Sus scrofa: one gene and its partners. The protein of the gene in region 6 interacts with the protein of the main gene of each other region in a biochemical or structural test. Links are inferred from orthologs where the notes say so. Each region holds a gene or a part of one and is shown on either strand. Other genes may lie near its edges.

Region 1 (4,334 bases), on a different chromosome or scaffold from region 6:
AGATGGTATTTAATGCCAGGAGACTGGAAGAGATTGCTATGGGAGTGAGTGGAGATTCAGCTCAAATACGAAGCCCTGGCACACTCTAACTTTTAGCGAGCGGATGAGGAAGGACCACCGAGGAGGTACAGCCAGTGAGCTAGGTTGGAAACCAGGCCCTGTTCTCCAGACTGCGTGAGAAGAAACTATTTCAAGGAGTGAAGAATGATCAACAATGTCAAATGCTGCCAACTGGTCAAGTAAGGAAAGGCTTGAGAACTGATTAAGAATTGAGTCAAAGAGAACAAGAGAAGAATCTGAGACACAGTATTTGTTCAATAAATCCTCGCATGCTACCCTGGCCAGGCACTGTTCTAAACACTGGAAGTACAGCAGTAAACCCAATGTCCCAAACCCTCATCCTGATGGAATTTACATAGACAAACCCTCAAGAAATACTGCCATAAATGGGACAGTTGCTGCAAAGAGCTTTGTAGTTGCAAGGTTTTTAGGAATGAAAAAAAAAAAAAATCACAGTATATTTTCATGCTTCTGGGTTTGATCCAGTGGAAAAGAGAAAGACAAGGTGATGGAATGATATCCTTAAAAAGGCAAAAGGGCATAAGGTGTGCTGCACACACGGGGCGTTCCCCTTGCATAAGAGCAGGGACACATGGGTTACGTAGCGGGAAGGGGGTGGCAGAGTATATGGTAGGTACACGGGACCATGTGGAAATTCTCTTCCGGTTACATCTATATTTTTAGGAAAATAGGATATAGTTATTAACTGAGAGTAAGGATGGAGATGGAGGCTTTCAAGGATAAAAAGAGAAGGGAATGTATAAAATAGGAGGTTTCTATAAGAAGGGTGCAGAGGAATAGAGTCGGGAAATGTAGAGGTATCGCCAGGCAACACAGAGCTTAATTGACAGTTGTGAATTTAAAGTGAGCTCAGTCAGCGTAGGTGTAACTGCCAATTCGTAAGAGGTTTTCAACTTCAAGTTTAAAGAAGTAAACACCACTAAGCACATTAAGTTTGTTAAAACCACCTTTACTCTGTTTTTTCCAACGCTTGAAACATTACTTTGGGTATTTTTCTCTCACTAATCAGATGTCACCAAAACAGATGACTTGAATAGTCTGTAGATGAGGAGAGGCTTCTGATCTGGTCTCCATCATGAATTTCTTTTCTTTTTTGGTCTTTTTTAAACCTCTCAAATTTGCTCACATATAAAATGGAAAGAACACCTGCCCACCTATGTCACTGTATGGTTGCCAATGTCATTCCACTACATATGTACACTACAGACTTAAGGCATGGTTATGAGAAGCTTTGTCTAATAACAGACTTAGATTTTTTTTGTTTAATCTCAAAATTCATTCTTAAGGATCCAAACTCCTCTTTTACATTATAAGTCTCTGAATTTGTTTACAATCAGTTAAAGGAAGTATCTCTGATCCGTTAAGTGCAAGCAACTAATGTCAGATGGCCCATGAGCTGTTTGCCCAACTGTCCTTAGTCAGTCCTGGAGAGAAGTCTACTTTCAAAGCACGCATTTTGAAGTAATCTAGGATAGGCTGATCCAATCCTGATTCTACACCATCACCAATGAACTTAAAAGTTACCCAGGATGCCTCAGGCACAGCCGAGATCAGTGTGGATACCGCTCCAATCTGTGGGAACCCCAGTTCCACAGTTTATTTTGGAGCATTCTCATTTCCTTTTAGCCCAGAACTTAAATGACTTTACGCATACTTACTCTAAACAGTTCCTAGGTTTCTTTCCTTGATATCGGAAAAATAACAGAAAAGTATTCAATATTTCTAGCTAGAAAAAGGACCCAAGAAAGAAATCTTTAATAAATCAAGGTCCCTCTAGTCCAGATTCCAGGGTTGAAATACTCAGGGGACGTCTGTAGGTAAAACTGCCAGAGAAACCCACCTCTCACCATGACATGAGAGCCCTTCTCAACAGGTAACCGTCCCAGCTCTTCTCAGTCGTTACCTGGCCACAGGTCCTCCTGTATTGCCCATTCTCGGTTAGCACCCCTAGTACTGTTCTTTGTGGTGGATCCTGGCTGAGCTGGGCTCTGGACATCATCTGACAGGCATCAGGACCTCCGGACACTGGAGCCAGCACTCTCCCGCTCTTGGAGCTACTGAGATGCATAGCCTCAGTCTCCACAGGCTACTGCTATCAGGGAAGGAGAAACAGACATGCTGGTTAGTCAACCTCTTCCAGCACGGGCTCCAGAATGCAGCAAATCCCCAGAAGAGAGAGCACTGAAACATATGATCTTCACTGCAGTTATTAGGGTTGAAAAGGCCTGAGCCACGGTGCAAGCGATCAAAGCTACTTTGAACCAAAACAGGGATTTGAATCTCTCCAGGCTTTCTTCCCAAACCAGGCTGACGGCTGGAAGGAGGAAGGCAGACCTCCACGGCCGGACACTAAGCCCCAGGTTAATTGGGAGTCCAAACCTACAGGTCTATGTCTTTTCCGGCTATGAGACTTATCCATCACCCCACCATCCCTCTGCCTGCAGTCGACCCAGGATACATCACTGTGGGAAAATATATCCCCTTCCCAAGTGACAAGAAGCGTGCTCTTCCGCGGCCCTCCTCCCGCAAGACATAAGACCCCAAAACCTGCTTGAAGCCCACAGCGGGCCTCGCTCGTCTCAGCTTTATGTCTTTATATATGTCTCGAACAATTGGCAAGTGCACACCAGGATTGGGAATGAGGGGCAGCCTAAGGGGGCGGGGGCGGGGCGGGGCGAGGCGGAAGGGGACCGAGGTGTTAATAGATTCCAGCCTTGGCGCCGGGATCTCAGCCTGGGCTGCCAGCTCCTCAGCTCTAATTATTTTCAACTCCCCCGCCCCCCGCGTCTGTTGAATCGGCCAATCAGCGGCGCTCTCGGGCCTCACGGGGGGGCCGTTTCCATGCCAACCGCGGCCGGCGTGCGCGATCCGGGTCGCATCGCTATGGCGACCTCCTCACCTGACACGCTCGGGGCGGACGCACCGCGACCCCTGGGCGTTCAGGGCTGGGAGGGACCAACCGGCAGCCGCCCCGGGCTCTTCCTGCGCTGCCCTGCCCGGGCGTGCCCGGGCGAGCGGGTCGCCGCGGGCACCCGCGCCCTTTCTGGCTGGCCTCCCGGGTCTGGCAGGGAGGAAGAAGGCCCACCCCGCGATGGCCAGGGTTTGGAAGGGACTGTTTCCTTGAACCCGTTCTCCCAACAGCCACTAACTCCTCCCGCCAACGTCTTTTCCTCGGCCCGCTCCTGAGAACCTTGGCTCGGGAGAGCGACGCGGGGCCCTCGGGGCTGCGCAGGCCGTGGCGCCTTGACCGCGCCCGCCCCAGAGCGCGGCTAGATCCCCTTCGCTGGCCCACACACCTACACCTTCTCCCAGAGAGAGGCCACATAGCTGCGGGTTGGCCCCTGGTTTGGGCTGGGGCTTCCTAATCCGTGGTGGCGGCGTGTCCTCGCTCATTTTGAGTCCTTGCGCACCAGAGGTTGCTCCTGGTCGGCCCGGGTTCTGGTGCATTTGGCCCGGCAGGGTGGGAGAGGAGATCTGGGGTTTTAGGGTCGCACGTGGTGCGGACAGTCCCCACGAGAGGTCTTCCCTGGCGGGTTCCGGCAGTCACGGCCTGAGGCGGGTCCAGGAACGCCGAGATAGTGGCCCAGGAAGAGGAAGGAACGCGGGTGGCAGCGATGGGGCTTGGGACGTTGAGGGAGAACGTAATGAGGCTCGGAACTGGGTTCGGGGCAGGTGGCCTCGCCACGTGGGGAGGAAAATCCTTGGATGGGGGTCCACCCGCAGAAGTTAACTGGCAAGGCAGGTAAAAGAGTCTTTAACGTTGTGATTTTTTGGAAAATATTTGTGTGCACATGTGTGTGTATCTGTGTGCACACACATATACACATTGCATATAAAACGTTGCTGCTTTTGTCTGCTTTTATTTTTTTAAATGCTCATCCCTAAGCAGACCACCAAAACCATTTAAATGAGCATTTTAAGAAATGATTAGCTGATCAGTTATCAAAGTTCCCCTCGTGGTGCAGCGGAAAGGAATCCGACTAGGAACCAGGAAATTGCGGTTTGATCCCTGGCCTCCGCTCTTTGGGTTAAGGATCCAGCGTTGCCATGAGCTGCTGGTGTAGATGGAAGACGGGGCTTGAATCTGATGTGGCTGTGGTATAGGCCTGCAGCTACAGCTCCTATTCGACCCCTAGCCTGGGAACCTCCATATGCCGCTAGTGCAGCCCTAAAAAGCAAAAAAGAAAGAAAGAAATGATTAGTTACCACCTTCCTTATTTTGAATGGAAGTAATTGTTAATATTACCCCCAAG
Region 2 (4,186 bases), on a different chromosome or scaffold from region 6:
CTCCAAATAAAACTGGTAAGTAATGGATCTGTTTAGCGATGTCATGTGAAGTTAATCCAAGTGAATATGTTAATCCTTAGTCTTTATTTCAAATTATGGACTGTTTCCCACTGCCCAAAAGAACACAAGTTCTGTTCTGACTACTAAGGATTAACTGACTTGTTATCACAAACCATTTTCCTCAAGCTCCAGTTACCCTGTGGTCCAAACATTGACTGAGCACTTTCTTCAAATCAAGCCCTGTGCTAGACACTGGCTTTATGATGTCCTCAAGAAGCTTTGAATTTAGAAAAAGTAAATGGGAGTTCCCGTCGAGGCTCAGTGGTTAACGAATCTGACTAGGAACCATGAGGTTGAGGGTTCGATCCCTGCCCTTGCTCAGTGGGTTAACGATCCGGTGTTGCTGTGAGCTGTGGTGTAGGTTGCAGATGCGGCTCAGATCCAGCGTTGCTGTGGCCCTGGTGTAGGCCAGTGGCTTCAGCTCCGATTAGACCCCTAGCCTGGGAACTTCCATATGCCGCGGGAGTGGCCCAAGAAATGGCAAAAAGACAAAAGACAAAAAACAAAAAACAAAACAAAGAAGTAAATGAAGTAAAGAGACTGATTCTGGGAACAAGAGTAGGGTGGGGGAAGTTAAGATGGGGATGGGGGAAGTTAAAGAAAGCTTTGGGTGTTGATGCTTGAGCTGTTATGAAGGATGAAAAGGTTATCAGTTACATGAAAGAGGGTGGGAAAAGTATTCTTGTAAGTGGGGAAGCAAAGGTTAGAATCACTATGGGACTTTTAAATGAAAGCTCAGGTCATGAGGTATGGTCAATTAAAGAGTGGGGGAAAAAAAAAAGGAACAAATGAAAACCACAAAAAAAATCCCATAAAACAAAGACTGTGCATGCTACAGTTTTCTGTGCTGTGTCCAGAAGGTCAATATTAAATCCACAGCCTCAGTCACATCCCCTTCCCTTAGACATACAATGAGGCTGAATGACTTTAACAGACCATTTCCCAACCAGCTTTAAGGAGATATTAAAAATTAGTACTTAAGAATGCAATTCATTGCAATTTCAGCCAAGCAGCCTCTTCTAGATGAAATATTTTTCCCTCACAGAAGAAGATACATTTAATATCTGATATTTAATAAAAAGTTCTTGGTGTTGAGGCCAAGTGTTAAGCCATCTTCTTACCCTGCTCTCTGAAGAGCTACATTTTCTGCTTTACACATTTATATATTTCGGTGTTGGCTTATTATTATTTGGTGGCCACATTAGGGAGTAAACAAAAAGGACTTAAAGAGAACAATCTGTGCTTCAGTCAACATATTCTGGTCAGAGATGACTGGTACCTTAAAGACAGCAAAATCTTTGGTCCCTGCAGCTACCACTCAATACCGTAAACAAAGGAGGGGTAGTAAAACAAAGCAATTAAAAGCACAGTTTCTGAAGCCAGATAGGCTGGGTTTGAACCCAATTCTGTCATTGACTAGATGTGACTAGAAGAATACCAGTGCTGAGTATACTATTAACGTGAGCTAATGCATGTACAGTGCTTAGCAGAACCTACTTCCTGTTAAGTACTATATAAATGTTACTATTACTACTATTTGTTCAAATGCTATTCCATACTTGAATAAAATGAAAGGAAACAAACAATCAACAGACTCTAAAATGGTCCAGAAAGTTTACCAAAATAGGTTCAGGGGAAAGTTTCTCTCCTTTAACAGGCTCAGGTTCTGGTTCAGGCTCCAGTTCAGGCTCGGGCTCCCTCTCTGGCTGGGGCTCTAATACAGGTACAGGAGCCTTTTCCAGAGGTTTCGGTAGTTTTTTAGCAACAACTTTTCCAGCAGCTAAAGTTTTTGCTTCCTGTGGATGAAAAGGAGAGAATGGATTGTTTCTCCACCAAGAGCCACAGCTGGAAGGGAGACACTCACAGAATAGTTGAATCAGCATAGTTACCTTTTTCAGAGGCAGTTTGGCCTGTGGCTGTTCACTGACTTTGTTACCGATGTCTCCAAGAGCAGTTCTTGGCCTCAGTCCGGGCTTAGAGGTTGCAGCAGAGGCCACAGGCACGCGCTTTGCGCCTGCCATACTGATCTTCGCCTTATTTTCAGCATTAATTTTCGTGTTCTGTAAGAAGCAAGACGAGTCTGGGAGTTGGCCCCGCCACGTTAAAATAAGTCAAGGGTTAAAGCGGGGCAAAAAAAAAAAACAACAAAAAAAACTGCGGCCCTCAGAAGGAAAGCCGACTGTGAATGGGTTCCCAGGGGAAACCGGGGTTCCAGGGTCTACGCTAAGCTTATGACAAGTCAGTTTTCTCCTGGAACCTCTCCGTTCACCTATTGAGGGATTACGTGCTCAGTCCCCGCCGGACCTAAAATACCATGGAAATCGAAAAAGCCTTCAATTGCAGGCACCTTCCCTTTCCCTCAGGGAAGAAGATTGCGCAATTGGTGGGAGCCCACTCGGGTCCTCCAACACCTTTTACAAAAGGTTTCCGGTCTACCCTCCATCTGCCCCCTCCCCCCAATTAGTCCAAGGCCCATCCGCTTCTCTTTTGCACCTTTCTCTCTCCGTCCGTCTGCCCCCCAAACTCTCCCAGTATGTTAGGGGCCCACCGACCGCCTTCCTCCTCTCCAAATTCGCTCCCACCGTGGGGGAACTCCAGCAGGGGAAACAGGGAGAGGAGACCCAGGAGTCAGGAGAGCCGCGTTTGTTCACCAACCGCAGCAGCTCACCCTGGTGATCCGGAGCGCCATGACTTCCTCTGTACCAGGCCAGGCAGCAGCTCAGAGGGGAGAAGCAGAGCACTGGAGCCCCGACCAGCCGGGGACCTTGAAGCCACCACTAGCTAACAGCCGTTCCTCCGCAGCACGCCGGGAGGAATCCGGCCCCGCCTCGGGTTTAAACCCCGCACCGCTCCCTCCTTATTGGCCTGTTCGTGGCACTCGCTCACTTCCCATTGGCGGCGGCCAGTTCCTCCGAAAATGCGTTTCCAAGGCGATCCCGCGAAGAAGTTCGGGCGGGGGCGGGGCCAGGCCGTCACGTGGTCTGACTCGGCGCCTGCGCCCTGGGGCAGCCGCTACTGCCACCTGATGAAGGGAGGGTTCTCTTTGCCCCACACCTGGAGCAGTGAACTTGTAAGCGACTAAAGTTAGCTGAGACAAGTCACAGCGGCCTTGGGAAAGGAAGAGTGGAGCTCCTTGTTTGACGTGAGGGGCAGTTATGGCTTTAGTCCTACTTGTTAAACACACTTTCCTCTCCTAGAGTGGCTTGTAGCAGGAAATACTTTTATATATACATTCTTTTTTCGTTTGTTCATTCCAACAGCACTCTGGGATAAAAAGGAGGCTCCGAGATGCTTTGGGTGACTCCCAGGATCACAAATTAGTAACACGGGATTGAACTTCACTTTCTTTGGATCCATGAGGTTTCCACACACTAATTGTCTCTTAATTTTGCAAGCCAGGCTGCCTCTTAACCTGCCAGATTACTTCAATCAAGTTGTTTCCCAAAGCCAATCTTTTTCTTTTAGTTTTTTACTTGAAAATAATTTCAAACTTACAAAAGTTTCAGACAAAAATGTAACAAGGAACACACATAGAGCCTTTATCCAGATTCAAATATCCTTAACATTTTTACCCCATTTGTTTTATGGTTTACTTAATCTTATATATAGATCTATGTATAACTGTATATAAATTTTTTTTCTTGGAAATACCTGTTGTGGCTCAGCAGTAACAAACCTGACTGGTATCCATGAGGATTCAGTTTCCATCCCTGACCTTGCTCAGTTGCCCTGAGCTCTGGTGTGGGCTGCAGATGTGACTTTGATTCAACCCCTAGCCTGGGAACTTACATATGCTGCACGTGCGGCCCTTAAAAAAACAAACAAACAAACAAACAAAAAACCACTTAAATATTTGAGGGTAAGTTATATATATCATGGCTCCTTATCTGTTAAATTTTTAGTGTGTATTTCCTAAGGAAAAAAGCATATTCTCTTAATGTAATCACAATAGAATTAGCAACTGCGTAAATTTACTATAACATTTTATTCAATCTAGTTTGTATTCTAATTTTGTCGCTTGAGCAGTTTCTAGCACTTTCTTTCCTCCAGTACAAGATCCAGCTAGGGTCAGTGTTGCATGTAGCCTCCTTTAGTCTGGAACAGTTCCCACAGCTTTCCTTTGTCT
Region 3 (3,686 bases), on a different chromosome or scaffold from region 6:
TGACACCTATATGTTATAAAGTGTTCTTTGCTTTTTTTTCCTTACTCCAAACAATCCCCAGATTTTACTCAGTCATACCATTTATAGAGTTTTAGAGAAAAAGCATGTCTCTCACAGATGCAGGTGAACAAAAATGAGCAATGTTGTTAAGCAAAGTTACTGCAATTACTTTTGGAGAAACAGAGTTTTGTGTGCCAATTTTCAGTGTGAAAAGCCAGTGGATGTGAAGAAGAGTAAGTCCTGTGAGGCTGACATCCCCACCGATCTTCGAAAAGAAGTAGAAAGTCATTACAGGCTTTCTCTGCCAGAAGATTTCTATCACTTCTGGAAGTTCTGTGAAGAACTCGATCCTGAAAAGCCAGCTGGTGAGTTGTTCCAGAATGTTTCTCCTGCTTCTGCCAATGGAAAAGACAGCAGACTGGACCAAGGGGCTAAACAGCTCATGGAAAAGGAACTTTTCCAAACATGTTTTGAATAAGAGAAATATAAAATAATGCTGTAATAATGTCACTGTCACCTGTTAAACTAGTAAAGGTATATCACAACATGCTTCCATGACAATTTGAAGGAAAATGGGTACATAATTTACTGTGTTGCAGGAGTTTGTAGGACTTAGTGCTGCTTCTAGGAACTTATGGATTAGGTGACCAAAAATATGTTTAATGACATTCGAACAAAAAAATAGAAAATGGCTTAAATGCTCATTGTTTACACATCTGTTCAGTGGACATTTATAGTTTTAAAAGAATGAGGCAGACTTTGAGGAAATGACAAAGGATCATTCCTGGAATGTTTTAAGTGAATAAAGTGTATAGCATATGCTACCATTGGTATTTTTAAGTTGGACACACACACACCCACACCCCCCTGTATACTTCCTATGTGCCTGTATTATCTCTGAAAAGATAGACAAAAAGCTAATAATGTTTAACAGATACTTTTCGCTGTTACCCTTTCATACTGTATAAATTTTTAGCTGAGGTGGGAGAATCACCCCCAGGTACTATGGACAGAAGTGTGTATTGGTGGGTAACTGAATTTTGGAAGTGTATCAAAATGCTTCACCTGTGCAGCAAAAGTTTTCTAAAGGTATTCGTGGATGTGTACAAACATGTATTAGCAAAGATGCTCACTGAAGCGTTGTTTAGAAGAAGATAAGAAACAATAAATGCCTATTAACAGTAGAATAGACATAGTAAAGGAACATTTCATACTATCGGAAAATATTTAGATTTTAGGACAGGATGGAGAACCACAAATCAGACTGCAGAACAGCATGGTCTCCCTTTAAAATACCTCTTTTGGGGGGAGGGGGAGGGAAATGTGTTACTACCATATACCAGGCTGTCAACTTAGTAATTTATGGCTAGTGAGATGGGTGGTTTTAGGTTTTTTGTTACTGTAAAAATTAGCATATGCTAGCCTAAGCTCCAGCTGAGCTGAATTATTTCCCCTCCAAATAGAACGTCTCCAGGCCTATTTTCACATGGTTACCTCTCCCAAGAATTTTCTTCCTCTCTCCATGCTCACCTGCCTGCCTGCAGTGCTCACCTCCCTCTCAGAGAGCATAGGGCCTGCCTGATGTTGTGCAAGTGTCCAGGTGAACAGACCTTGTGACTCTGGTTGTATTGAACAGCCAGACTTTTGAGTGGTGAAGGGACTCGTCTGGGGCTGGGGTGAGCCCCCAGGTTGTCAAAATTGATAAGCAGCTGAGGGAGAGGAAGGGGGTGAAATGATGTGCTTCTCCCTTCATCTGGATGTTGGAGACCGACAGCAACATAGTAAGGAGACGAGGTGAGCCTTTGCAGCTCTGATATACCCACAGGAACGCAAAATAGCCTTGTTTTGGCCAAAATGAGAAACAGCAGGAATGTTTGAAATGTAATCAGTGGTAGAGTTAAGAGGAAATCCTACATGTAAATGCCACTTCTTCATTGCTCTGGTTTCTTTTCCATTAAGTATTTACAACATTTTCACATGTAACTAAAGTTTTTACTTTAGAAACTCCTTTTTAAGACAGTTAGTTGCTTACAAGTATTTTCCAAATGAAAGTCATGATTTCTTAGCTGCCTCCTGAAAGCTACTGTCTAAATAAACTTACTTAATTTATAGATTCACTTTCTCTAAGCCTTGGACTTCGATTAGTGGGTCCTTATGATATCCTTGCCGGGAAACATAAAATGAAGAAAAGGTCAGCTAGCCTGAATTGTAACCTTCACTGGCGATTCTACTATGATCCTCCAGAGTTCCAGACCATTATCATCGGAGACAGTAAAACCCAATTCCACATGGGCTATTTCAGGTAAAGGGTCTCTAAAGTACAGCTGCTGTGCCTCTAACGCTGCAAGTAGATGCTCGCCGGCTTCATTCAAGGTGAAGGCACGCTTTCCCCTGGGGTGGGTACATGGGCTGCCTGCCTCTCTAACCTGCTAACCTACCTGGGGATGGGTGAACTCATTAGGCCTAACCTCACCAGCTTTTCCTCTGTGGTTGTAAATATTCTTTTCTTTTCAGGTTCAGATGAGCTTTTTTAGCTCAAGGAAGATGATTCAGAGCAGTTGGTGTGACTTAAGTTAGCCACGTGCTTCCAGGCATCCTAGAACTAGGATGTGCTTTGGAGTCAGACTGGTCTTGCTATTCATTACCTGGGTGATCCTGTGCCAGTCCTTAGTTCCTGTGACTTTGTGACTCTGTTTCCTCTCTTCCTCTAATTATACCTACCTAATAGGAATATTAGGATAAATGCAAGATGCTTAAGATGTTAGAAATAGAAGTGGTGGGGGGTTCCTTATCCACTTGTGGAGGTGCGGTCTTGACAGAGATGAGGGGATCAGGACTTGGGCAAATGTGCCTGGGGGTGTCAGGGTGCTGTGGGCACATGCAGGGCTGGGAGTGGGGGTGCATGGATCTGCTTCTGGCTTAACCGTTACCTTGTCTGAGTCACTTGGTATCTCTGTATTGGTTTCCTCAGTGGTAAACCATTTGATTAATAGATACATGAGTTGGATCCTTTCACTGCCAGGGTTTTATAATCCTTTCTGTCCTCTTTCTTCATTTTCCACCTTCTTTATTCTTTTCCACAGACTGTAGACCAAGGGTAAATATGATCATGTATAATTACACCTTCTTTTTTTGATAGACTTTATTCCCCCTTTCTTTGTATTTAGGTATAGAAGTAACTAGGTACTAAGGATCTTAATTTGGAGTTTTGTTCTGTAAATAAGATTTGTCATAGTTTTTGTTTTTTGTTTTTTTTTGTTTTTGCTGCACCCTCAGCATGTAGAAGTTACTGGGTCAGAGACTGACTCCATGCCACAGCAGTGACAATACTGAATCCTTAACCTTTTGCACCACAAGGGAACTCCTTTTTTTGCAAGGAAGGGTGATATTTGTAAGAAACTAAGAACTTATCCCTGGCACATTCATTGGCAGTTTTTTGAAACATGCAGATATAAATTGTTTATAGAGATAAAATTCTACTTTTCTGATAATGAAAAGTATGGGCAGCTAAATTTTTAATATCTTTTGCTTAAACAGGGATTCTCCTGATGAACTTCCTGTGTTTGTTGGTACAAATGAAGCAAAGAAAAATTGTGTAATTGTTCCAAATGGTGATAACGTATTTGCTGCAGTCAAGTAAGAAAATATTTTAATCCCCCTCCTATTTGTGATAGTTGTTTACAGTT
Region 4 (3,686 bases), on a different chromosome or scaffold from region 6:
GTGTGTGCGCACATTTGCACCACCCGTGAGTCCCAGACTCTGCTCTTGTTGTCCCCATTGGTATTGAAGGTGGAGTTAAGGATGGTTGGGTGGGGTCCTCTGTCTGGGCTGGGGGTTCTGACCATGGTCTGACCCTCTACCCCCTCTTCCAGAGACCTGTCCGAAAGTCAGAGTCGGAGGTTGCAGAGACGGTTGGGATCTATCAGAATTTCGAGAAGAAGCCAGGAGTCTCTGGAGATGATGTCTCAGGTGAAGCTGTGCCCACACCTTCCAGGAAAGCCCCTGCTTCTGATGTGGCACGCGTCCCAGTTTCCCTGCACAGTCCAGGGAGAACTGAGAGGAGGCCCACCCCGTGGGGAAGGGACACAGCAGGGGAGACCCCCTTCTTGGGTCCCAGGGCAGAAACCTGAGACTCAGTCGCCATCTCCAGCAGGCACTGGGACCTATGGCAAGATCTGGGAGAGCAGCACCAAGTGCAGCATTGACAACTTCATCTTCATCAAGGTCCTGGGCAAAGGCAGCTTCGGGAAGGTGAGGGGCCCCACATCCCTGGGGCAGGCAGCCCAAGGGACCCTGGCCCAGGAGTCCAGGAGCACCTGCCTCCCACCCTCCCTGGCTGCTCCTGGTTAGGTGAGGTGTGCGGGCCTGGCCCTCCCCTGCTCAGTGCCCCTGCCCATCCGTCAGGTGCTGCTTGCAGAGCTGAAGGGCAAGAAGGAATTCTTCGCCATCAAGGCCCTCAAGAAGGACGTGGTTCTGATCGATGATGACGTGGAGTGCACCATGGTAGAGAAGCGGGTGCTGGCGCTCGCCGGGGAGAATCCCTTTCTCACCCACCTCTTTTGCACCTTCCAGACCAAGGTACCCGTCCATCCCAGGGTCATTGCCCCTGGAACACAGCCCCCTTGAGCGGCTCAGGTCAGGGCCTTGTCTCCCACTGAGACATATCAAGGCAGGGCCCAGGCTTCCTTCTCAGACCACTTTGAGGCAGGGCTGTGTCCCTCTCCTCATTCTGCCCAGGACAGAGTTGTGCCTTGCTCCCTCTGGGGCTTGCCCCCTGTGGCCCTCAGTGAGGGAGCATCCGGCCAGTTTCTGTGCCTCCACTCACCATGCTCCCCCCGCAGGACCACCTGTTCTTCGTGATGGAGTTCCTCAACGGGGGGGACCTGATGTACCACATCCAGGACAAAGGCCGTTTCGAGCTCTACCGTGCCACGTACGCCAGGCCCTGTGGGGAGAAGAACTGTCTGCCTTCCATTCCTTCTTCCCTCCCCCTGGAGAAGCTAGCCTGCACTAGGGCTGGAGTTGGAGAGATTTGGGGTGGCCAGGGCCTTTTCCTCCCTCCTTGTGGGAAGCCAAGGGTGGTGGGTAAGCTGTGGCTGGGAACACAGCCCTTGCCGTGCAGGTCCAGTCCCCACATTGGGCCGAAGCCGGCGCAGCCTCTCAGATGGTGATCCTGCACGATGCAGGACCCTGGGGTGTGGCCCCCAGACTACCATGCACCTCTAAACTGTGTGCATATGCACATATGCATAGCTTTATAAATTCATACGCTCGCAGGACAGACAGCTGTCTCATTTGGAGCTTTTCTCTTCATAATTTTCTTTCCTGCCTTGGCTGCCAGTCCCTACTTGCCTGATACAAGATGTACTTGATCAAGCCTAGGTTGTCCGTGCAATTATTTGCAGCATTTCCTGCCCTGGGGGGTGGGGACAAGGACCCAGGGAGAAGCAGTGGCTGCTCACAGAAATCTCAGAACACGTGTGTGTCTCTCTCTCATCCAGGTTTTATGCGGCTGAGATAATCTGTGGGCTACAGTTTCTACACCAGAAAGGGATCATTTACAGGTGTGGGGGTTGGAAGTGGGGGGTGTTTAGGAGGGGAGCCCCCCCACCCCTTCATGTCCTCTGAAATGCTCTGAGTGGGGCCCAGTCCAGATATGGCCCCATCTCTGCTTGCAGTCAGTCTTTAGTTGGGTATTTGCCTAAGCCACCTACTCCATTGCTAGAATTCCTTGCGGCCCCTTAGCTGAGGCTGGCACAACCCCATGGACTGGGAATTCCTTGCCCATACCCTATGGCTTTGGCCCATACTGACTGGTATATTGTGTCTCCCTCCCTTGGAGCTGTTGGTCCCTGTCTAAAGCCCCATCCGAACATTCTGAGCATCCACAGATAGGGACTGTTTCCTTAAGTTCTCACCCCATAAACCACAGTCCCATCCTGCTGTGGATTAATATGTACCCATCAAAAAGGCCGAGGCCGACATGTGTACTGGTGGTTGATGATGCCAAGGTGTATTGTCAAGTGGAGAACCAATCCATGGGATGGTGTGTATTGGATATTAGGGTTCAGGCTTTAAAAGGTGGTGTGAGACACACATTGTAATGTGCTGTCCGTACCTGGACTCTCTCAGGAGGGCCTGGTGAGTGAGGTTGGTGGAAGATGGGCCTTGGGCTGTTTGTCTTTTCTGGTACCTGTTACCATGTGCCTAAGTTATCCACTGAAACAACTAACTACGTAAAATAGACCGGCCCCCTGCCTCTGTGGATTAGACAAACCTGAGCCCAGACACTTCCCCAGCTGACCACATGGGTGACCCTGGGCCAGTGACACATCACATCTCTGAGCCTCATTTTGGGCTTCAGAGTGTTTCCCCACAGTAGGCGGTTCACAGGAAGCACCTGTTTTTAGTACCTGTTTCCTTTTCTCTTCCTCATCCCCTTGTCCCCATGGGGCGATAAGGTCCTAGGTTTGCAGGGCTGACAGTGGGGACATGGGAGGAGGCTGCAGGGAGGATGGGAACTGGTCTCTGATGACCCCCTTTCCTGTCCCCTCCCCTCAGGGACCTCAAGCTGGACAACGTGATGCTGGACCGGGATGGCCACATCAAGATTGCTGACTTCGGCATGTGCAAGGAGAACATGCTGGGGGACAAACAGGCCAGCACCTTCTGCGGCACTCCTGACTACATCGCCCCAGAGGTGGGCGGCACCCTCTCCCCCCAGCCCCGTCCCACACCTTATCTCCACAGGGTGGGGGCAGCAACGTCCAAGCCACAGCTGGGACACTGAAGAGGCCAGCTGGGGCTCGTGCTCTGGGCCCCCCAACTCTGACACCCCCTCTGCCCCAGATCCTACAGGGCCTGAAGTACTCATTCTCTGTGGACTGGTGGTCCTTCGGAGTCCTTCTCTATGAAATGCTCATCGGTCAGTCCCCCTTCCACGGTGATGATGAGGACGAACTCTTCGAGTCCATCCGTGTGGACTCACCGTATTATCCCCGCTGGATCACTAGGGAGTCCAAGGACATCCTGGAGAAGGTGGGAGGCCCTGGGCAGGGCTGGCTGGGGCAGGGTTTGGCAGACACCAGGCTGTGGGAATGTGTCAGGGATGGCAGCCTCACTGATGCTCTGGTCCTAACACACTGAGTGGATCACTCTCTGCCACGTTCTCAGGACCTCCCGTTTGGGTTCCCTGCACTGAATCAGTCTGGCATGTGATTATGGGCTTGGGAGTGAGGAGACAGATGGACCTAAGGCCAAACGCTAAGTTTGTCTCCTTGTCTGTAAAACGAGACTAGGAGAGAACCTGTCTCAGTGTTTCGGTGAAAAAGAAAAAAAAAAACCATAAATGTGGATGCTCAGGTGGATGCTCAGGTCTATGCCCAGCAGATAGTAAACACCCAATA
Region 5 (4,419 bases), on a different chromosome or scaffold from region 6:
GGCCTTGACCTCAGAGCCCCAGGAAGTTCAACGATCTGCTAATTGGCAACTCTGAGGATGACACAGTCATGCCCACCAGTAAGACCCAGGCTCTAATTTTAAGATAGTCACGGAAGGAGGGGGCCCAAGACTGAGACTACATCAGGAAGGGCCTTAGGAGTGTTTAGGAGCTCTCTGCCACATGCTTATTCTAGAGGCTTAATACAGTAGTGCTTTCAAGTCACGATTGTTCAGTACTACCTCTCTCCATAGCCTATAAACTCCACAAGGGCTTGGTGATTGTGTTTTTCAAGCATTCCTTCACAAATAAGATTTAAGGGCCTCCCTTCCTCCAGGCACTATGCCAAGACCTGGACAGGCAAAGTAGGGAAAGGAGCACCAAACACAGAAAGGAGCAAGAGACTTAATGGTGGCAAGTGCTGTGAAGGAACCACAGCAGGGCAATGGGGTAGACAGGAACTCCTGGGGAGAGGGGTGCTCTAGATTAAATCAGTGGTCATTGACGTTCTCCGGAAGGACAAGCGGCCCCAAGGGGCCAGAGCTGGGAACAACAAACTCCAAGGCCCTGAGATGAGAAAGGACAGAGGGTGATCAGGGGAGCCGTCAGGGAAGGGGGTTGAAGGGGAGGGCTGAGGGGGGCGAAGGCCACTCCATGCGGAGCCCTGGAAGGCAGGGAGCGTGGATTTGACTTTAAGGGCCAAAACACTTTATCGCTGGAGAGAACTGCGTGGAATTCCAGCATCAGAAAGGGCTTCTGCCAGGGATGAATCTGTGGGGAAGAGGCACACGTGGAGGGTGCTCGAATATTAGCTGAATGAATGCATGCAAAGAATCACGCATGAATGGCCAGTTGGGCTGACACGCGACTAGGAGTAACAGCTGTTCTACAGGGGTACCCAGACCTAGCGGCCTAAGGCCCTGGTTCTAGGCCCTGTGACCAGGCGCTGTGACCTTGGGCACATCCCCGCCCCAACTCAGGGCCCGGAACCCTGCGTCTCTCGGGGGCGGGGAGGACGTGCAAGGAGCGACAGTGCGCGCGCGCGCGCGCGGCAGGCCGATGGATGCGGAGTCTTCTGGCCCGACCCCCGCCGGGGCCCGAACCCTCGTCGCCCGCGGTGTTTACATTCCACCCGCGCGGGCCACGCGGCTTTTTGCCGCTCCGGCGCCGCTCGGCTCCGCCCCCGGAGCCCCGCGACCCGCCCCTCCGCGCGCTCGCGCCAGACCTCCCTCGCGGCCGGCCGGCCGGCGCGTCCCCGCCCCCTCGCGCGCGCCGGCCGGCCCCCGCGTCCCGCCCCGCGCGGGCTCCGCAGCTCAGGCCGCGCAGGCCCCGCCACGGCCCCCGGGCCCCGCCCCTCCGGCGCGCAGGCCCTGTCACTTAGCCCCGCCCTTCGCTGGCCCCGCCCCCGGAGGTGCCGAGCGCCTGGGCGGGCCTGCGCCGCGCGGGGCGGTCCTGAGGGCGGTGGCGGGGCGGGCCCGGGCCCTCGGGCGGCTGCTGAGGGGCTCCGAGCCGGCCGGGGCGGGGCGGAGGGTGGCGGGAGGGCGCGAGGGCGGGCCGGGGGCCGGTTCCGCGCGCTGGGATTTTTAAATGTCCCGCTCTTAGCCGGGCGCAGGAGCAGCCGGCTCGGCCGCCAGCGCGGTGTAGGGGGCAGGCGCGGATCCCGCCACCGCCGCGCGCTCGGCCCGCCGCCGCCTCCCGCCTCCCGGCTTCCCGCTCGCCCCTGCCTCCTGCGTCCGGCCTCGGCTCGTGCCGCCTGCCTGCCTGCCGCGGAGACGGCTTCGGGTAAGGACCCCGCCGCGGGCTGCCGGACGGCGCGGCGGGCAAGGACTCCCGGAGCGCCCGGGTCGGGCCGGGCCGGGCCGGGCCGGGCCGGGGTGGGGGTGGGGGTGGGGCGAGATCGGGTCGCCGGGTCCCCAGAGGCGTCAGCGCGGGGTGCCCCGGTAGGGCGGCTCAGAGACAGGCTACAGGGAGGTGTTGAGGGGAAGACTGAGGCAGCCTGGGCCCCGAGGGAGGCGATGGGCCGGCGAGGGTTTCGGGGGGCGTCGAGGGCCCCCCCACCCCGGGTTCCGACCCGGCATCGCCGGTCGCTGGCGCCGCCGCGGGTGACAGGCCACCCCGGGCCCATCGGCCATTTTCCCGACCGGCCCGGGAGGCTCCCGCCGCCGCCGCCGCCCGCGCGGGAGGGGGAGGGGTACCAGGGACGGGCCGGCGGGGCCCTGGCCCCCTCCGCCGCCGGTCCTCAGCCCACTGCCTTTTCGTGCCCCCAGGCCTGAGGTCTGAACTTGTGCCCAGCGCCATGCCGAGGGAGAAGAAGGAAAGGTGAGTGGCCTGGCCGCTGCGGTAGAGGGAAAGGTGTGCAGTGGTGGGGGAGGGGTGGGCCGAGATTTGGGGAGAACTCACCCTCACCTCTGTGCCCCCCCTGGCTTTGCAGGGATGCGAAGGAACCTGACACTATGAAAGAGGAAAGTGGCACTGATGTCTCTGTTCGCTCCAGGAAAAGGAAGGCAAATGTGGCCGTTGTGAGTACAAAGGAGACAGGTGGGGGAGGATTCCCCCCTTCTCATCATACCTGGGTTCTGCCCACCTATTTATTGATAGGGGGTCACGGGGGAATGCGTTTGGCAGAAATGGTGCTCACATAACCTAACCTACTGTCTTTTTCTTCTCTATGTGTGTGTTTTTGTCTTTGGACTGTGTGGTGTGTTTCCTTGGGTTGTGGGGGTTGTTTTACGTCAGTTTTTGCAAGATCCAGATGAAGATGTGGCCAAAATTGACAGAACTGTGAGAAGCCAGTGTGGCAATCAGGTAGGTACACTTACTGATTGGGCCTAAATGGAGGCTTTCCTTTTGGGGGGTCAAATGTAGTCTCTTATTCCCTTGGCTGGCTCCTGCTGAAGGCTTGTTCTCTGACTATGGCCATATGACGGTGCCCGTCAGTGGGCACTGACCGCTGCCAGCCTTGGGATTCCAGGAAGGTGTATGTTCCTGTCTGACATCCCTGAGATGACAAATATGCGCCCATGTCTGGAAGAACCAGAATGGACATCACATAACTCAGTCCTCTCCTTTTGCCCTTGAGGAAACTGAGACTCGGTTAGAGGAAGAAAGTAACCCAGAGTCCTGTGCAAGCCAGGGGCGGAGTCTGTGCTTCAGCCTAGTCTGCAGGCTGGTGAACTGCAGGGAAGGCTCCTGACACAGAACTCTGGGTCACTGTGATGATGGTGGTTTGCGTGTGCTCCGAAGCACCTTCTCCCTCATCCACACTTGTGTTTTCTCGTCATGGTGCTTAGGAATTGCCCTTCCCTGTTCCCACCCCCGTTGGGTCATGTTTCAGACTTTTTTTCCCCTTTCTGAACGTTCTTCCAGCTCATCCAGCAATTACCTGTAGTGATCCCTGCTGTCTGGTACCTGACCTGGCCTCCACCAGAGCATTGGTGGGACATTCCCTGTAAGGATAATGCACCTCTCAAGCACACTTTTTAAATTGGCTGGTCCTTTTCTCTTGCCCTTCCTTTGTGGACTTCCCGCCATATTTCTTGCATGCTCATGGTATCGTCATAATATCAGAAGTTCCTAGCAGAAAAGGCTTGTATTATCTCTCTACCTCCAGAAATGGCTGGAGAATGTAGTTATGGCTCCAGTAGGGGAAGCAGCCTATCTCCAGACTAGCTGATCAGGCTTTCTAATGCAATAACAGATAAAAACTGAGCAGGAATATTAGGGTTGAGCCAAGGATAGTGGTCCCCATGACATTAGCAGTGACAGCACTCCACTTTGTAGGGCAGTGAACAACAGCCATAGTGCTGGGTCTGGAAGAGTAAGGAGCTTCAAGGCCGTGGGCTGCATTGTTTGCAAAACAGTTGTTACTGCACACAGGACCCTAGTAATTAGTATTTCTGGGGAGGTTCTACTGAGTGTTGAACAAGGGATTCTTGATTTCCCTGCTGTGTTAGAAGAAGTACTTCACTTTAGGAAAGGGAATAAGGTAGTGCCTTCCAAGTTCTTTTTTCTTCTTTCTCTCCTGAAAGACTTCAGACCAGGGAGTTCCCATCATGGTGCAGTGGAAATAAATCTGACTAGCTAGTATCCATGAGGATGCAGGTTCGATCCCTGGCCTCGCTCAGTGGGTTAAGGATCCAGCATTGCCGTGAGCTGTGGTGCAGGTCGAAGATGCAGGTCGGATCTGATGTGGCTGTGGCTGTGGTGTAGGCCGGCGGCTGTAGCTCCAATTCGACCCCTAGCCTGGGAACTTCCATATGCCACGAGTGCAGCCCTAAAAAGCAAAAAGAGAGAGAGACTGCAGACCAAGCAAGTTGATGTTTATGGATGTCTTCTTTGTGAAATTCAAGATTACCTTCCCAGCTGTGTTTCGAATTGAAATTTTTAACTGAGGTTGAAGCAAAGCTGTCCCTCTTGACTTC
Region 6 (2,658 bases):
AAACAGATGACTGTCCAGATTTTACTAGAGTAGGCTGTAATTTCAATTCCAGGAGCTCCTGGGGTTGAAGTGTGTTGGTTCTCCGTTTTTCAAAGGGAAGAACCAACTGCTGGTTGCATTAGGTATCCTAAACATCACAACCAAGCTCAAAATCCTGTCCATATCTCGCACCTCTCCTCAGTAAATAGAAAAATTCACTGTCCCTTCAAACTTTTGGTCATTGCCTCAGTTTTCTTGAATGTTAATGTTTTCCTAATTTCTTCTAAACTTCTATAACCTCCAGTCCCTTAATGCTCAACCCATACTTCTCATAGTAGGCAATTATTTCACTGAAGCATATAGGTCTATCTTAAATACATAAAAATTCCCACACTGATGTCCTACAAAAGAGAATGTTCCTGACCATGGAAATTTGTTAAATGTAGATGGAGTTAAGGAGTTTGAGTGAGAGCACTGGGAAAAGCGCCTTGAAAGATAGACAAAATCCCATGCCATCTAAAACAGTTTGAGGTTTTGAGGGCTCCTGGAAACCCTTGAATAATTTTTATCAGGTATCAGAGTTTTTTTTAAAAATACATTATCTAGGCTAAGCAATTTTTGTTCATACTTTAATGGATTTGCCAAGGAGAAAAGGCATCTCAGTCAAAAACATACTAAATTTGTTTGAATTTGAATGCAGTTCATTCCATCCTGAAGCCAAAGCAAATTCTATTCCTCCTGGAAGAAGTCACTCTGGCAACAGTACTATTACGTCTCTGAAGACATGGGCATGTGGAAACTCCTTGAGAGGCAAAACCGGTTTTTAAAGAAAGATGTATATGGTTAATTTGGGGCTGTATGTAACCAGCCACCCTGCGCCTGTGTTACTTCCTGCAGTTGGAAACCAAGTTTATGGCAAAACCAAGGAACCTAGTGTCTTTCCTACTGCAAGAATCAAAGGCCGAATTTAGGGACAAATCCTTTTTAAAAACATTCGCTTGATACTTATTAGGAATTTACTGTAACATCCAACTAACTAGCTCGATGCCTTGAGCCCGGTGGATTCCTATGAAAAGCTGAAGGGATTTTTTAAAATATCTTTCATCAGTTGCGCGTAATTCATTAAAACACAAACAAGTATGTGAACCTGGAGGCTATTTTCCTCCTTTGGAGTTTCAAAGGATAAAATTCTGTACGATTTTTTTTAGCATTTAATCAAATTTGGGGGACTAACAAACACAGTTTGGAAGTCCAACCACGAGAGGCGGCTGCCCTAGGGCGGTGGATTGGACGCTCCACCAATCACAGGGCAGCACCGGCTTATATAAGCCCCAGGCCCCAGCAAGGCAGCATTGCAAAACTTGCTCTTCGGATCTTGAATCCTACTTCCTCTGGCAGTTTCTCCCATCGCCATGTCGGAAACCGCTCCTGCTGAGACGGCTGCCCCGGCGCCGGTGGAGAAATCCCCTGCTAAGAAGAAGGCAACAAAGAAGCCTGCGAGCGGAGGGGCGGCCAAGCGGAAGGCAACTGGCCCCCCAGTTTCTGAGCTGATCACTAAGGCCGTGGCCGCCTCCAAAGAGCGCAATGGCCTCTCTTTGGCTGCGCTCAAGAAGGCGCTGGCAGCGGGAGGCTACGATGTGGAGAAGAACAACAGCCGCATCAAGCTGGGTCTCAAGAGCCTGGTGAGCAAGGGCACCCTGGTGCAGACCAAGGGCACCGGTGCTTCTGGCTCCTTTAAGCTCAATAAGAAGGCAGCCACTGGGGAAGCCAAGCCCAAAACGAAGAAGGCTGGGGCCGCTAAGGCAAAGAAGCCTGCCGGGTCCACCCCTAAGAAGCCAAAGAAGGCTGCGGGGGCCAAGAAAGCTGTGAAGAAGACGCCCAAGAAGGCCAAGAAACCCGCGGCTGCTGGCGTCAAAAAGGTGGCCAAGAGCCCTAAGAAGGCGAAGGCCGCCGCCAAGCCGAAAAAGGCTGCCAAGAGCCCCGCTAAGCCCAAGGCTGTGAAGCCTAAGGCCGCCAAGCCCAAAGCCGCAAAGCCTAAGGCAGCAAAACCCAAAGCTGCAAAGGCCAAGAAGGCGGCTCCCAAGAAGAAGTAGGAAGTTGGCGCTCGAGGTAGCAAACCCCCAAAGGCTCTTTTCAGAGCCACCCAGAGACCTCTGAAAACAGCTGTGCACTAAATATCAACTGTCCTCTTATATTCTTACTTTGGTTCAGGCATTCAACTTTCTTCCTCCGAGAAAGTTTACAAAATACGAAGGATGTAATAACATGGCTGAAACTTTAAAAAGCCCGCGCCGTGTTCTGATAGGTCCCTGATTCAAAAAACAATAACTACGCCCACACCCGCCACTTCGGGCGCCGCCGCGCGAGATCTGATCCGTATGAGTGTCCTAAAAGCCAAAGGTCACACGAACGCGGGATCCTTAAGCCCCAAGCTCAAAAACCGGGGTGCACCAGGGATCCAACCCAACACGCATCTCTCGTGTGTACTATTTGTTTTTGGGTTCGTTGAGCCACAAGGGGGAGGGAGAAGTTCCCGATTTTAAGATGGCTCTTGGCTCAACTTCCGCAAACCACCGGTAACAGTGACAATTGGATTGACACGAGCCAGCTCTTCCACAGAAAAAGTAGGTGGCTCTGAAAAGAGCCTTTGGTTTAGAAGGCTTTGCTACGGAAACCTTA

What was found.
Region 1: of the proteins of histone H1.5 (region 6) and CCNA1, one has a biochemical effect on the other in vitro, tested with the Homo sapiens proteins (2 studies listed by BioGRID). The link is inferred for Sus scrofa from reciprocal best matches to the Homo sapiens genes H1-5 and CCNA1.
Region 2: of the proteins of histone H1.5 (region 6) and CCNB1, one has a biochemical effect on the other in vitro, tested with the Homo sapiens proteins (2 studies listed by BioGRID). The link is inferred for Sus scrofa from reciprocal best matches to the Homo sapiens genes H1-5 and CCNB1.
Region 3: the proteins of histone H1.5 (region 6) and histone PARylation factor 1 form a complex in vitro, tested with the Homo sapiens proteins (2 studies listed by BioGRID). The link is inferred for Sus scrofa from reciprocal best matches to the Homo sapiens genes H1-5 and HPF1.
Region 4: of the proteins of histone H1.5 (region 6) and PRKCD, one has a biochemical effect on the other in vitro, tested with the Homo sapiens proteins (2 studies listed by BioGRID). The link is inferred for Sus scrofa from reciprocal best matches to the Homo sapiens genes H1-5 and PRKCD.
Region 5: of the proteins of histone H1.5 (region 6) and CCNE1, one has a biochemical effect on the other in vitro, tested with the Homo sapiens proteins (4 studies listed by BioGRID). The link is inferred for Sus scrofa from reciprocal best matches to the Homo sapiens genes H1-5 and CCNE1.

Annotation. Positions count from the first base shown.
Region 1 is NC_010453.5:12,394,620-12,398,953, reverse strand, and holds the start of CCNA1 (cyclin-A1), read right to left. Parts: upstream 2,806-4,334; 5' UTR 2,629-2,805; exon of another isoform or gene 2,465-2,628; intron 2,174-2,464; 5' UTR 2,150-2,173; coding exon 1,985-2,149; intron 1-1,984. UniProt on the Homo sapiens protein: May be involved in the control of the cell cycle at the G1/S (start) and G2/M (mitosis) transitions. May primarily function in the control of the germline meiotic cell cycle and additionally in the control of mitotic cell cycle in some somatic cells.
Region 2 is NC_010458.4:47,336,934-47,341,119, reverse strand, and holds the start of CCNB1 (G2/mitotic-specific cyclin-B1), read right to left. Parts: upstream 2,882-4,186; 5' UTR 2,750-2,881; coding exon 2,729-2,749; intron 2,121-2,728; coding exon 1,950-2,120; intron 1,857-1,949; coding exon 1,680-1,856; intron 1-1,679. UniProt on the Homo sapiens protein: Essential for the control of the cell cycle at the G2/M (mitosis) transition.
Region 3 is NC_010456.5:20,017,168-20,020,853, forward strand, and holds part of histone PARylation factor 1, read left to right. Parts: intron 1-205; coding exon 206-365; intron 366-2,112; coding exon 2,113-2,302; intron 2,303-3,537; coding exon 3,538-3,636; intron 3,637-3,686. UniProt on the Homo sapiens protein: Cofactor for serine ADP-ribosylation that confers serine specificity on PARP1 and PARP2 and plays a key role in DNA damage response.
Region 4 is NC_010455.5:35,313,570-35,317,255, forward strand, and holds part of PRKCD (protein kinase C delta type), read left to right. Parts: intron 1-152; coding exon 153-249; intron 250-430; coding exon of another isoform or gene 431-433; coding exon 434-531; intron 532-684; coding exon 685-858; intron 859-1,121; coding exon 1,122-1,213; intron 1,214-1,781; coding exon 1,782-1,844; intron 1,845-2,841; coding exon 2,842-2,980; intron 2,981-3,129; coding exon 3,130-3,318; intron 3,319-3,686.
Region 5 is NC_010448.4:39,918,016-39,922,434, forward strand, and holds the start of CCNE1 (G1/S-specific cyclin-E1), read left to right. Parts: upstream 1-1,525; 5' UTR 1,526-1,780; intron 1,781-2,265; 5' UTR 2,266-2,294; coding exon 2,295-2,317; intron 2,318-2,429; coding exon 2,430-2,517; intron 2,518-2,734; coding exon 2,735-2,803; intron 2,804-4,419. UniProt on the Homo sapiens protein: Essential for the control of the cell cycle at the G1/S (start) transition.
Region 6 is NC_010449.5:21,621,330-21,623,987, reverse strand, and holds histone H1.5, read left to right. Parts: upstream 1-1,341; 5' UTR 1,342-1,391; coding exon 1,392-2,072; 3' UTR 2,073-2,125; downstream 2,126-2,658. UniProt on the Homo sapiens protein: Histone H1 protein binds to linker DNA between nucleosomes forming the macromolecular structure known as the chromatin fiber. Histones H1 are necessary for the condensation of nucleosome chains into higher-order structured fibers.